Linked DNA regions of Drosophila melanogaster. The protein of the gene in region 2 purifies or fractionates together with the protein of the main gene of each other region. This does not show direct contact. Each region holds a gene or a part of one and is shown on either strand. Other genes may lie near its edges.

Region 1 (4,958 bases), about 11 Mb from region 2:
TGCCGTGACGCAACTAATGGCATTACCAATTCCCGACAGCCACACAATACATACGAGTGCGAAAACCGGAAAGAGAAGCTAAGCAAGAAGTTGGCGGAGAAAGGAAAGGGGCAGCAGCAGCCGTAGCAGCTTTAATTCAATTGAAGCCAAACAATTGCTAATGGACAAATGCCGGGCCACAAGGCAGTTACTTTTTCGAAATCTCTTCCGCTGGAGAATTGGGTTTAGAGAGCTCGTGTGCAGATCGGCGGACGGAGTGGCCGGGCGGGGGCAGGTGAAGCGTCTGGGGCTTCCAAGTTAGTCATTCAACGAACTTGGCTATTTCGGGAGCAACCGCTTTCATGATGCATGTGTGTGGCTCTGTTGCCGTCTCTGTCGGCATGACTCAATGGGTCGCTCTAACAGAGATGCGCCAACGAAACGAGCTCGAAAAGTGACTGGCACATTTGGTTACTCGATGGAAATCTGATAAATGGGGCAATGATTTCTTTAAAGGATATGCTGCTTTATACTATATATGATTCCACTGCATCAACAAATTAGGTTTAAGATTGAATGATAGCTATAGAGGGTCATCTATAACGAAATAAGATTTTCTATAGTTCAGTTCAATTGAAATAAAGCCGTTTGCTAGCAAGGATACGCATTAGTAATTGAAGAAGCCTCCCCAAGACATTGGAATGTGTGGTCACCATATCGAGCGTTTGTTTAGAATCACTACTAGTAATTCAAACAGACCATATATGGAGTTGTTTTGGAGCTTGTTATTTGGATTGGATACTCACTTGTATACCATGGCATTGTCGCACGTGTCGTTGAAGGCGTAGTCGAAGCGAAACTTGTGGTTCTCCAGGAACTTGGTGAGGTCGACCTTGCTGCGCGGCTCGTGCACGATGAGCATGTCCTTGCGCGGCACCGAAATGACATCGATCTCCTTGCGATTGACCTCCTTGCGGCTAATGGGACGCTTGCGCACGCACACTGTGATCTGATGGTCATCGACGGCCTGGCCATCGAGCAGCGGCACAAATTCCAGCGTGCTCTGATATTCGCGTATCATTTGCGCCGTCTCCCAGTTTGGATTGCCCGGATCCTGGTTCATCAGCGCCACCTTCTCCTCCTTCATCTCGGCCTGTCGGGCGCGTCGCTTCTCGCGATTCTCCTTCAGTCGCTCCACCTCTTTCAATGCGTGCGATCGCCGGGTACTAGCGCCGCCAGCTCCCTGGGTTGTGGCCGCAGTGGCGACTCCTTGTGCCGCCGGACCAGCACTGGCTGCCGCGCTGGGATTGGGCAATGTGTTATTAGGCACCGCCGAGGCGATCCTTGTCTGCTGCTGGCCGGTAGCAGCTTGCGAGTACCGTGGACGCTGTAATCCAGTGGTCGTCGACGTTGTGGTGCCACCACCTCCGCCGGCCGTAGTGTTGGAGTTGCTGTTTGTATTCACGCTATTGCTGCTGACAATCGGATTGGGAATCGACTGGCTTTCCTGGATCTTGTTCAGCATGTTTCCGGCCATGGTCATACGGCTGGTGAGATTGCCACCGATAGCCGATTGTGTGGGATTACGCGAGAGGTTCATCGGCGCGGTGGCTTGTTTCTTGGGCTCCGGGGCGGCGTGCTGTTCGACAGTATCTTGCATTAGCTCCGGATTGAGCGTGAGTATGGCGTCCAGTTCTACCTCCTTGCCCTTCGTTTCGCCGCGCTCGTACCATTCGACTGTGATGCACTTGCCCGACTGGTTGATCACCGCCACCACGGCCATGTGGACGCGGCCATCCGTCCGCTTGATCTTGACGCTCTGCCCCACCGTAATCATGTCCATGATCCTTCCTCTTTGACTCCACCTGTATATCTCTATTCTCCACCGATCTCTTTCTCTTTCTCCCGGCTTATCCTGCGTTAACTCCGAGTACTGCTTGATGGACAGCAACTTCCACTGCTTGCAGGAGGAGTTCCGTTAGTCGTAGATGTAGTAACTACGTTGTGGTGTGCAAAATGTGCCTAAATAAATACATAAACAAAAAACACAATTTAGTCAGATTTTTTAGGTCGAAAATAATTTTATTTCGTTGTTTCTTGACGAGCGATAAACTTGTGGAAACTAAGCCCCGAACCGAATTCAAGGCATTGACAACTAAATCGAACCCAACTGCTTGTCGAGGTCGCCGACAGCGTCTGTTTTTTTTTTTTCGAGTGTCCCAGTGTGTGTGTGTGTGCTGCTTGCGGGTCGGCGTTAGTATGTGTGTTTGTGCTGAATTCAAATGCCAACTGTCGTTTTCGTTGCGTCTGGCAACGGATAACAAAAAGGAAAAACGGCAGCCCGCTGGCTGGGAATTGGAAATAGGAAAAGGGGAGCTCCGAGCCAGCGTAGGATCGCGAAAATCCCAACCGAGTTGCTGCTTTTGTTGTTGTGCGCCCATTTTGTGGGCACTGGCGGCACTGTGCAACACTGACACACACATAGCGACACATATGCAGCTGCGGCAAGCCTTTTGGCCGAAATGCAGCGAAAAAAACAACAAACCGCGGCGTTTGGCAGCCAATCAATGCTTTCCGCTCCTAATTAGATGCAAAACTGATGAGAGAGAAACACAACACTTGCACACACACACATATGCAAGGAGTGGGGGGAATGCGTTTGCTTTATCGCTTTACGTCATACACAGAGCACCCACACACACTTGCGAGCAAACACAAACACACACCGATGCAGAAAACAGACGGTCGCGGAAATTTAATTGAATTTTTCGCAATCTTCTGCCTTTCGCTCACCTTTCCTGCTATCTTCCCAACCGCTACAATGTGTTAGCACTTTCCATTAAAAAAAAAACTGGCGGATTTATCGACCGATCACAACGAAATATCACAAAATCTGCTAGAAATAGTTTTGCAAGCGACCAGATGTCAGCAACACAATTTTTTAGTTTCGCCTCGCCATTGTTTTTTGTCCCCGCCGCGTTGCGCAGCACTGGACTGCAGCGCAAACAGTGCTGGCAATCAGCCGTTGTGTTTGAAAAGTGAGACAATTGGCGTGTTAATAAGTGAATAAAATCCATATTAAGCAGGGTTACTATTGGCTAAGTAGTTTTTGGGTATATTTATGACTTTTTAGTAGAAATACAAGTATAATTTTGACAACTTGAGAGTTTATTATTAAGATTGATGTCTTGGCCAACACTAGGCAAAGTAACCGTTAAAAATGTCAGCTGTTTTGGAATTTATATCAATAAGTAATAAAAATAAGCGACCGCTTTTGTTGGCATAAGCATAAGTTCATTAAAATGTGCCTTATTTATTGAAAGAATCAACGTTTCGGCAATACTTTGTATATTTGTGTGCAATTGGCTTTTCCGCCCCCCGAAACTAGACAACACTAGACATACATAACGTTGGGTATTTTTAAGCCCTAACAAAATTAGCTGTTTAATAAGACAAATTGGGAGTGCCTTATCAGGGTGAACTAGGTATTATTCGACGTGGATGGTTATTCATTTGCATGGTTTTACCGTTTTGTCATTCATGTATACATATGCACTTGGGTTAAATTTTGTAATTTTCTTGTAGTTTTATGGTTGTTAATTATCTTTTTTTCAAAAACATTTAGCCATTTACCAATTTGGACAAAGAGCTTTCCACATGTATACAAATTGCTTGTACAGTGGAAACACCCACATTCGAGACGCGAATAGGTGGGCACTTTGCATCGCGCTTGTCTATCGATACTATAATCCGAACCATCGACTTTTGTTGGTGGGGGTGTATTTGTTTGTGCGTTGAAGGGAAAGCGTAATAACGCCTCCTGATATCGATATCGATATCATATCACAAAAAACAATAAACCAAAAAAGAAACGCTAAAAACTAGTAGTTTTGTGTGCCAGGAAAACGGAAAGGTGGACATAGTTAAGTTACCACAACAACCGACGGATATCGACTCCAGACACCACATCGCCCAGCGCCACCATGGACATCATGGATATCCAGGCCGTAGAGTCCAAGCTGAGTGACGTCACGGTGACACCGATACCGCGCAGCCAAGTGCAGAATTTCTACAATTACCAGCAGCAGCGGGAGCAGCGCGAGCAGCAGCCCCAAATCCAGATATCGGCCATCCACCACTCGCGTGGATCCGTTGGCGGAGGAGGCGGATCCAACTCATCCAACGCTGCCACCGACTACTCCACGAGCAGCGGTGGCAAGCGGGAGCGGGACCGCTCCTCCGCCAGCGACTACAGCAGCTCGTCCAGCAAGCAGAGCTCCGCTGCAGCGGCCAATGCAGCAGCAGCTGCCGCCGCCGTCGCTGCCCTCCAATACTCCCCGCAGTTCCTCCAGGCCCAGCTGGCGCTACTCCAGCAGCAGTCGAACACGACGGCCACGCCGGCAGCCGTCGCCGCTGCGGCCCTCTCGCTGGCCAACATGTGCTCCAGCAATGGTGGTCAGCGGAATTCCGGTGCCGGCGTTTCCTCCACCTCCTCTGGCAGCAATGGCCAGAGCATGGGCCTGAATCTGAGCTCATCGCAGCTAAAGTACCCGCCACCCTCCACCTCGCCCGTGGTGGTGACCACCCAAACTTCGGCCAATATCACCACGCCGCTGACCTCCACGGCCAGCCTGCCCTCAGTGGGCCCGGGCAATGGGCTGACCAAGTACGCCCAGCTGCTGGCCGTCATTGAGGAGATGGGCCGCGATATCCGGCCCACGTACACGGGCTCGCGCAGCTCCACGGAGCGTCTCAAGCGGGGCATTGTCCATGCCCGCATCCTGGTGCGCGAATGCCTCATGGAAACGGAGCGTGCGGCGCGCCAATGAGAGGAGGAGTCGCTGGCGCCGCAGCTGGCGACCCCGGAGTGAAATGGACCAGGAGGCGAGGATCGGCCTCATCTAGGTTAATTACCCCCAAACAAAAAAAACAAAAAAAAACACGGACATATAGCAAACGCAAAGATCCATTTTGTCCCA
Region 2 (7,201 bases):
CTTTTTCAATGCTCATAATTTTATATTTCACATTCTTATAAAACACTATTTAAAATTAAATAAAAATCGATTTGACTTGTTTTAAAAATAAATACGTGCATGTATAGCACATATAGTATGCAAATAAAAAAAATTATGTGTTTTAGTGGGTTACGCTAGATTTTAGTGGTAAAACGGTGGAGCGCATACGTTGCCATCCTGTAATCCCAAGTAGAAACCGACCCGCTGCTGCGGCTGACTTTGATGCGGATTTTGCTGCTGATGCTGCTGGGATATATCCTGGTACCCTGATTCCAACTCGGTGTAGGACATGGTAATCCTTTGTGTTGGTGTTAGTGCGAGTTATCCAAACAAAACAAGGAGCAAACAACAACACTGGGAAACGTTTTTCGTATTCTGTTTTTACATTTTTCACTCTCACCCCCACGCACGCAACTTTGCCGCGTGTTAAAAATATAAGTGTGCGCTTATATTTTTGTTAACGATTTTTTCTCTCACTGTCCTTCGATTTACGAGTTACGAAATCTGTTATTGGTGTGGTTTTATTATTTGTATTATTATTTTTTCAATTTGGTGTGTCGTTCTAAATTCGCCGCCGGCGGAATTATGGAATTGGGTGGGCAAGGCACGCGGGCAGCTGGGTGAATAACAGGATGAGCGGGAGGTCGGCCAATTGCTGTGGGTTACGTGCTCACTAATAATTAATTGTTATTAAACTAGTTTTCTCTCGCTTTTGATTATTTGTCTGCCTTTGCTGTTTTCTTTTAAGGCCATCACACGCACACACGACTACTCGCTTTAAAAGTTCCGTTTGTTTTGGCAATCCGCCGCAGCTTTCAGGGCGAATTTGTCTAGAAAGCTCCGCAATGTCTTGAAAGCTTGGCTGCAAAAAATCACGCGGGCTTTTGCCAAACAGCTGTTCTGTAAATCAAGAAAGAAAAGGTATTAAAAGGTATTAAAAAGATAATAGAGAGATATAACCAAAAATAAGTATATAAATGTATTTCAGTTCAATATTGCGACTAGTATGTATATTTGTTTGTTAGAATTGCTTATTAATCGTAAGAATTAATTTGTGTATGTAGTTAAGGATACTACCGAATCTACCCATTAAATTTTATATTATTTTAATATTTTTTTAATATTTAATATTTAAAAATATACTTAATATTTAAGTATTAACATATACATATTTTCTTCCATTTCAGCTCAAATATATATATTCCATAATACAAATTAAATAATAACAAGAGAGATTGCTATAGTCGGCTATCAGATACCCGTTACTCAGCTAATGAATATGCCAACGCAAAGTTGGGAAATAAAATGAGAAAAAATATATATGTAAATGGTTCGAGTTGTGGGCGCTGTGGGCCAAACGCCGTTTTGGGAGTTTTTTTTTATTATATATCGATAGAAATGGGCAAAACAAGCAAAAAAACGTAGAAAAAACAAAACATTTTTCAAAAGTGTGGGCTTGACAGCTTTTGGCTGTTTTTAGGCGTTAGAGTGGGCGTGGCAGAGTTTTTTGGCAAATCGCGTCTATGTCTCTGGAAGCTGCATGATAAATCTGAACATTCTAGCCTGTATAGTTTCTGAGATCCTGACGTTCATACGGACGTAATGACAGACGGACGTGGCCAGATCGACTCGTCTAGCGATCCTGATCAAGAATATATATACTTTTTATAATGGGAAACGCTTTCTTCTATCTGTTACATACTTTTCAACGAATATAGTATACCCATTTACTCGTAGAGTACAAAAAGGGTACAAAAATGTAAAAATGTATAGAGAGAAAGTGGAACCAGAAAACTTAAACTTAATAAAAATGTGTTTAGTTAAAACAAGAATGCTTCGTTTATCGTTTCCTCCTTTATTCGAGCAATCTAACCTATGAAATCCTAATCCAATCGGCGATGTTTGAGGAGTAGTTTGGTCTTGATCCTCTGGCGATCCCGAGCGATGATCTCCATGCGGTCCTTTATGTTGGTCTGGAAGAAGATCAGGTGCAGGGTACGACTGGCGGAGCAGAGCTATGAGTTAATTCAATGAATATAAAGGAAAAAGTAGTCAGCTTGTATTAAGTTTGCAAACAAGGCAATTTCAAATCAAATATTTATATAAAATCGCATTAATTATTCTAAAATACCAGTAGTTTTGGTTTTGCTTACTCAAAGTTAAACCAAAGTCAATGTAAGCACAGTAGGTAACACTGCAGTCGAGTTTTTTGACTATCGCATACCCTTCACTCAGATAATAATTAATTTCTAGTTTTATCATCCAAGCCTAATGTACACATTTGGCACCTTTTACACCTAGACAAGTAACCAAGTAACCCACCTGTTGAAGCAATCGCGCCTTGAGGCGCAAGTTTGCAGGCTCCTCTGCATCCAGGCCATGTCCACAAGTTTCCAGGTGCAGGTTCAACACGAAGATCAGGGTGTCTCTGATGGTTTGGACAATGCGCTGCACTTGCTCGGTTGCAAAAAGCCGGCGGACCAAAAATCCTCGCACACCGGCATTAATACGTGTGGCCGCCCACTGGCGCTCTTCCTGTTTCAGCTCGACATATTTCTGGCAGGGATTAGAGGCGAAATTAAACAGGGAACGAAGGCACTTGCTAGTTGGGTTAGTAATTAGGTTAGCTACTGGTGCTAGAGGCTTGGTCCCTCGATTTCCTCGCAGTCTTTGTTAAGGCACTTGCATAACTGACTACCCGAATTGCTAGGGCTTCTTGCGCTGTTTGTGTTGGGGAAGAGGAAATAATAGAATGGGAGTACAGGAAATAGATATTACAGATTATATCGCCAAGGTTTTCACTTTTTTAGGGATAAAATACCTAATTATTATATTAAGTGATTATGCTAAGAATATCAATATCAATATCAATATAAAGCAAAAAAGAATGCTATCAGATACCCGTTACTCAGCTAGTGGATATGCAAACTAGAAATTTCATCATAATTTTTCTGGGATATCGATACAAAATTGGGAATAAAATGAGAAAAAATTTAAAAATTAATTAAAAATGTCAATAGAAATGTACATGTCTAATAAAATTGTGAAAAATATCCAACATATATTCAAGCTTTTATAGTTCCTGAGATTTTGACGTTCATACGAACAGACGGATATGGCCGGACCGACTCGGCTATAGATCCTGATCAAGAATATATATACTTTATATGGTCGGAAACGATTCATTCTGCCTGTAGCATACTATTCAACGAATCTAGTATACCCTTTTACTCTAAGAGTAACGGGTATAAAAATAGAGGACCATAAATAAAAAATCGTTAATGCTTTAGTTAAATAAAAGGAAAGGTCAAATAGCAGAGATTTAAAGTAAGAGTCCAACCAAATTAGCTGCTAACTTAGGTTGGCACAAATGAAAACCTTTGTGACTTAAAGCAAATAAAATATCGCTCAGATTCGCTTGAAAAACTTACATTGCCCAGCCGCTTGGTCGGTGAGGCGCTTTTTGGTGGGGCGCTTCCCCTTTTCGCTATAATGGAGCTATTTTTTCCCGGGGAACTTTTCGGTCGTCCTGCTCCACCTCCAGGCTTCGCTGGCGATTTCTTCACCTCGCGGTCTGCTGCGGTGATTGTTTTTACTAGACTACCGCCCACAGATTGCGATCGGCGCCGGACAACTTGGACACTTCGTCTGCTATTGGTTAAGCTGCTGTTCCGGAGGGGCAACGATCGCGGTGTGCTGGGGGCACTGAGCAGCTGCGGTTCCGAGTCCTTTGATGGTTTTGGACTAAACAGCCTCTTGCGAGCGGAAGAAGGCCCCGCAATTTGGCACTTGTCTTCCATCGTCGGAAAGTCTTCTATGTCCTCTGAAAAGGAGGGTAACGTAGGCGAGGGGGAAAAACGCTGCAGGTCTCCCGTACTGGTGCTTTGCGATATCAGACTGTCAGGATTTTCGGTGGCCGAGGAAACATCAATTTCGGCACACAGTTCCTCTATGAGCTGACGCTGCTGATGATCAAACTCGGCCTGCATGCGACGACGTTCCTTCTCCTGGTGAATGACCAATTGATTCATTCGCTCCCGATGGCCACGCAGATAGTTGCGCACTCCTGCCTTGCGGCTGGCTTCCAAAGCGCCATGCTCGTCCAGCGCCCGTTCTATTATACGCTCCACCTCGCGATCCCGCCTAGAACAGCTGCTGCCGGCGGTTGTGGTTTTAGTGGCGATGGTGCTCTTGGTTGCGGCGCTACTGTTGCTATTGTAGCTGTTGTGGCTAATTTTGCTGCTAATACTCCTTGCACTACGGTTCACCCGCTTGGCCTGAGACTCGATGGTCTGCTTCTCGAAGTTGGCCAAACTCTGGCTGGGTTTCACAGCCAGGGCCTCCCTCTCCATGTGCTCCACGAGAACCTGGGAGGGCTCCTCTAGTGTGAAACTTCTCGAACGCTGAAAATTAGCTGGTTCTGCCAGTGGACTGCCGAGCTCCCTTGCCGTTGTGTCCTTTGTATCCTGATCCTGCTGGTCTTCGGCTACCGCAGGACTTGTGCGCAGGATACACTTATCTGGAACTTTGGGCAGCAGCTTACCCAGTCCCGACTGCTCGAACTGCAGGATACGATCGGTAATGCGATTATGCCGCCTTGGGGAAGTGTTTTCTATTGATTTCACAAATGGTTGAGGCGTGGGAGGATCCACCTGTATGGTGGGCAACTGTTTGCCAAAGACCAGAGTCTGAGGACGAGCCTGGCCCCGTGTGCTGTCATAGATTAACGTTTCTGTCTGCTGCAGCTGTGACACACTTCTCCTACTGGCCATGTCGGATCCCGCCGAGTGTCTGGCCAGGCGGTACCGCTTCTCCAGCGCTTCTGCCATCTGGCGGGCCAGCTGCACCTCGCGCTTCTTGGCGCTCGTCATCTGGAACAAAGTAAAATGGTTACGCCTCAGTAAATGCCACTCCCTGACCAAGAATTTAAATCACCAGCGGTGGCAGTATAGGCTGCCCGTCCAAGTGGAACCGAAAGGAGACAGGGTCCATGGAACTAGAGCCACTGCCCTCGGAGGGGGCGCTCCAGATCGATATGGTGGTCGTGGCCGTTGGTGTGGTGGCCTCGCTGTGGCTACCTCCCATCTCAACTGCAGACAGCAGCTGCTCCATTGCCCTGCTTAATTGGAGAAGCATTAGATTGAGCAAAATCAGTAATTAGAAGCCCGTAAGCAACCGGGATTCATAAAATCCCAAGACCCACTCACCACGTCGCATCCATTGGTGTTTTGCTACTGGGAATTTTTGTTGGGACGTCGAAATGTCAGGAAGCCTTCTCAGAGGTCAGCTGAATCTAGGTGTTTTGTGAAAGTTCATTAAATGTCTGCTATGTTTTAGTTGCCATTAGAGATGACGATGGCACTAGGGAGCCCTCGACTTCCCGCCAAAAATTAGGAAACCTCTGAAGAGTTCATTACATCAATCAAATGATATCCCGAATCGTTGAGAGTTTTGTATTCAATGTTTCTACCGTGGATCGCAGCTACCATCAAGAGCCAATGAGAAATGCTGCTTTAATGCTGGGGAAAACATTTATTTTCAAACGGCAATTCAAAACTCACACGAAGTCCATGCAGCCCTGACGTCAGATATCGATAACCGGACTTTTGGAAGTAGCGTTTTTAGAGAAAATTTGAGGACTCCACAGATTAGCAGAGGAACAAGTTTTCAGTCCTTCCAGAATTATAGTAAAGAAAACGGTGGATTAAATTAGTGTTCAGGAACTTATATTGTATATTTCGTATGCTTCAAAATCTTGTCAAAATTAAAGAAACATTGTCTGCGAAAACTTAACTTTTATTGGTTCTTAACAAACTAATTTGAAACAGCTGGCCGAATTCAACAGTTTACTAGGTGGTTATCGAAACTGGTGTGGTACATTTTGGTATTTGATTTGCGCCGGATGGTATTTTCCTTCGCCGTGCGCGCGGTCACATTCACTGGATGTGTTTTTTTGCGCTGATTGTTGCTCTGGCGCGATCGAATTTGCCTGGAATTCGGGAGTCAACATAATATTTTCGAAAGTCACCAGCTATAGCGAAAAGTATGCGAGTTCTATTACAGCTTGTCGATATGTTGTGTTCGTAACTTCTGTTTGCATATGTTATGTGTGTGTGTTATCTAGTTACAAAACGATCTAAAACCGTTTTTGCAAAGAACGTCCGCAAAACTGAGTTTGTACTTCAAATATGAACTATTTGCGGTTTATATTGCTCCAGATTTCTCTCTTTAAAGTTGCATTGTAGATGCAGTCGTGTGTGTGTGCGTGAGATGGGAGTGCAATTTTTTTTCAACAGTATCAGCTTTGTTTTTTAAGTAGAATACAAGTAATTTTTACCCCTAACTTTATTCCTAGCCCCTTTCCTTTATAAAAATACGGTAAAAGTGTAAGGAAAACAAAAACAAAAAGCGCAAAGTTTCGCACATATATGTGTACATATGCATACACACGCTGAGTGTGGTGTTTCTGTATTGTTTTTTTTTTTGTGTTTCATTCTGCGACGCAATTGAAAAAGACATCGAAGGCCAAACAACTTGGTGTTTTTTACGTTTTGTATGGCTGTAGTTGCTGTTGTTGCTGCTCAGTTGGGCGTTAGTGTTTGGCTCCGTTCTTATTATTATTATTACAACTTTTCCACGCGCTTCGCTCTCTGTTTCTCTTCCACATGCTTGCTTTCGTCCTCTCCCACGCTGCATTGCTGTCTCACTCGCACACAGCCGGTAAGCCAAGCAGCAAACAGCAACAACAACAGCAACGGCGGCGACAATAAATTATGAAAAACAAGGGAATAAGTTGATGAAATAAGTATTTCGAATTAAATGGTTAATCACTGGTGGAAAAGTCGCAGTTCCAATGACACCTTTTCCATGCTGAACTACGGAGTTTTTTTTTGTTCTTAATCGGTATACGTTTGTGAAAACAAGTGCGCTTGTGTGAGTGAGACAGGGCCTCAAAAGCCAGAAAAACATGACAAAAACATTTTGGTAAATTGCCATGTATCCGAAATAATGCTCATGCAACAGTTACATATAAATATTGTTATTTTATTTTCTACGCAGTAGTCGCGGATTTTCAACAAAGAGCAATCATAGTGATGGTATAAAAGAGGGGAAGGACGAAAGCAAAGAGAGCAAACCGAAAACAGTTACTCTGCCCATGCGCACAGCTGACCCAGAACCT

Evidence for each region. The genes of interacting proteins can lie anywhere in the genome.
Region 1: the proteins of Cp110 (region 2) and Klp10A purify together in Drosophila melanogaster (affinity purification with western blotting; one study listed by BioGRID). This does not show direct contact.

The regions. Positions count from the first base shown.
Region 1 is NC_004354.4:11,134,095-11,139,052, forward strand, and holds the start of Klp10A (Kinesin-like protein at 10A), read right to left. Parts: upstream 3,025-4,958; 5' UTR 2,773-3,024; intron 2,685-2,772; exon of another isoform or gene 2,002-2,684; 5' UTR 1,823-2,001; coding exon 786-1,822; intron 1-785. Other genes in the region: CDK2AP1 (CDK2-associated protein 1), read left to right, coding at 3,963-4,808. UniProt on the Drosophila melanogaster protein: Required during anaphase to drive sister chromatid separation to promote flux by actively depolymerizing kinetochore microtubules at their pole-associated minus ends, thereby moving chromatids through a 'poleward flux'.
Region 2 is NC_004354.4:22,480,778-22,487,978, reverse strand, and holds Cp110 (centriolar coiled coil protein 110kDa), read right to left. Parts: upstream 5,585-7,201; 5' UTR 5,439-5,584; exon of another isoform or gene 5,315-5,438; 5' UTR 5,243-5,314; coding exon 5,229-5,242; intron 5,141-5,228; coding exon of another isoform or gene 5,138-5,140; coding exon 4,957-5,137; intron 4,893-4,956; coding exon 3,453-4,892; intron 2,743-3,452; coding exon of another isoform or gene 2,728-2,742; exon of another isoform or gene 2,578-2,727; coding exon 2,344-2,577; exon of another isoform or gene 2,233-2,343; intron 2,037-2,232; coding exon 1,905-2,036; 3' UTR 1,895-1,904; exon of another isoform or gene 1,859-1,894; intron 922-1,858; 3' UTR 521-921; downstream 1-520. Other genes in the region: l(1)G0196 (lethal (1) G0196), read right to left, coding at 190-312.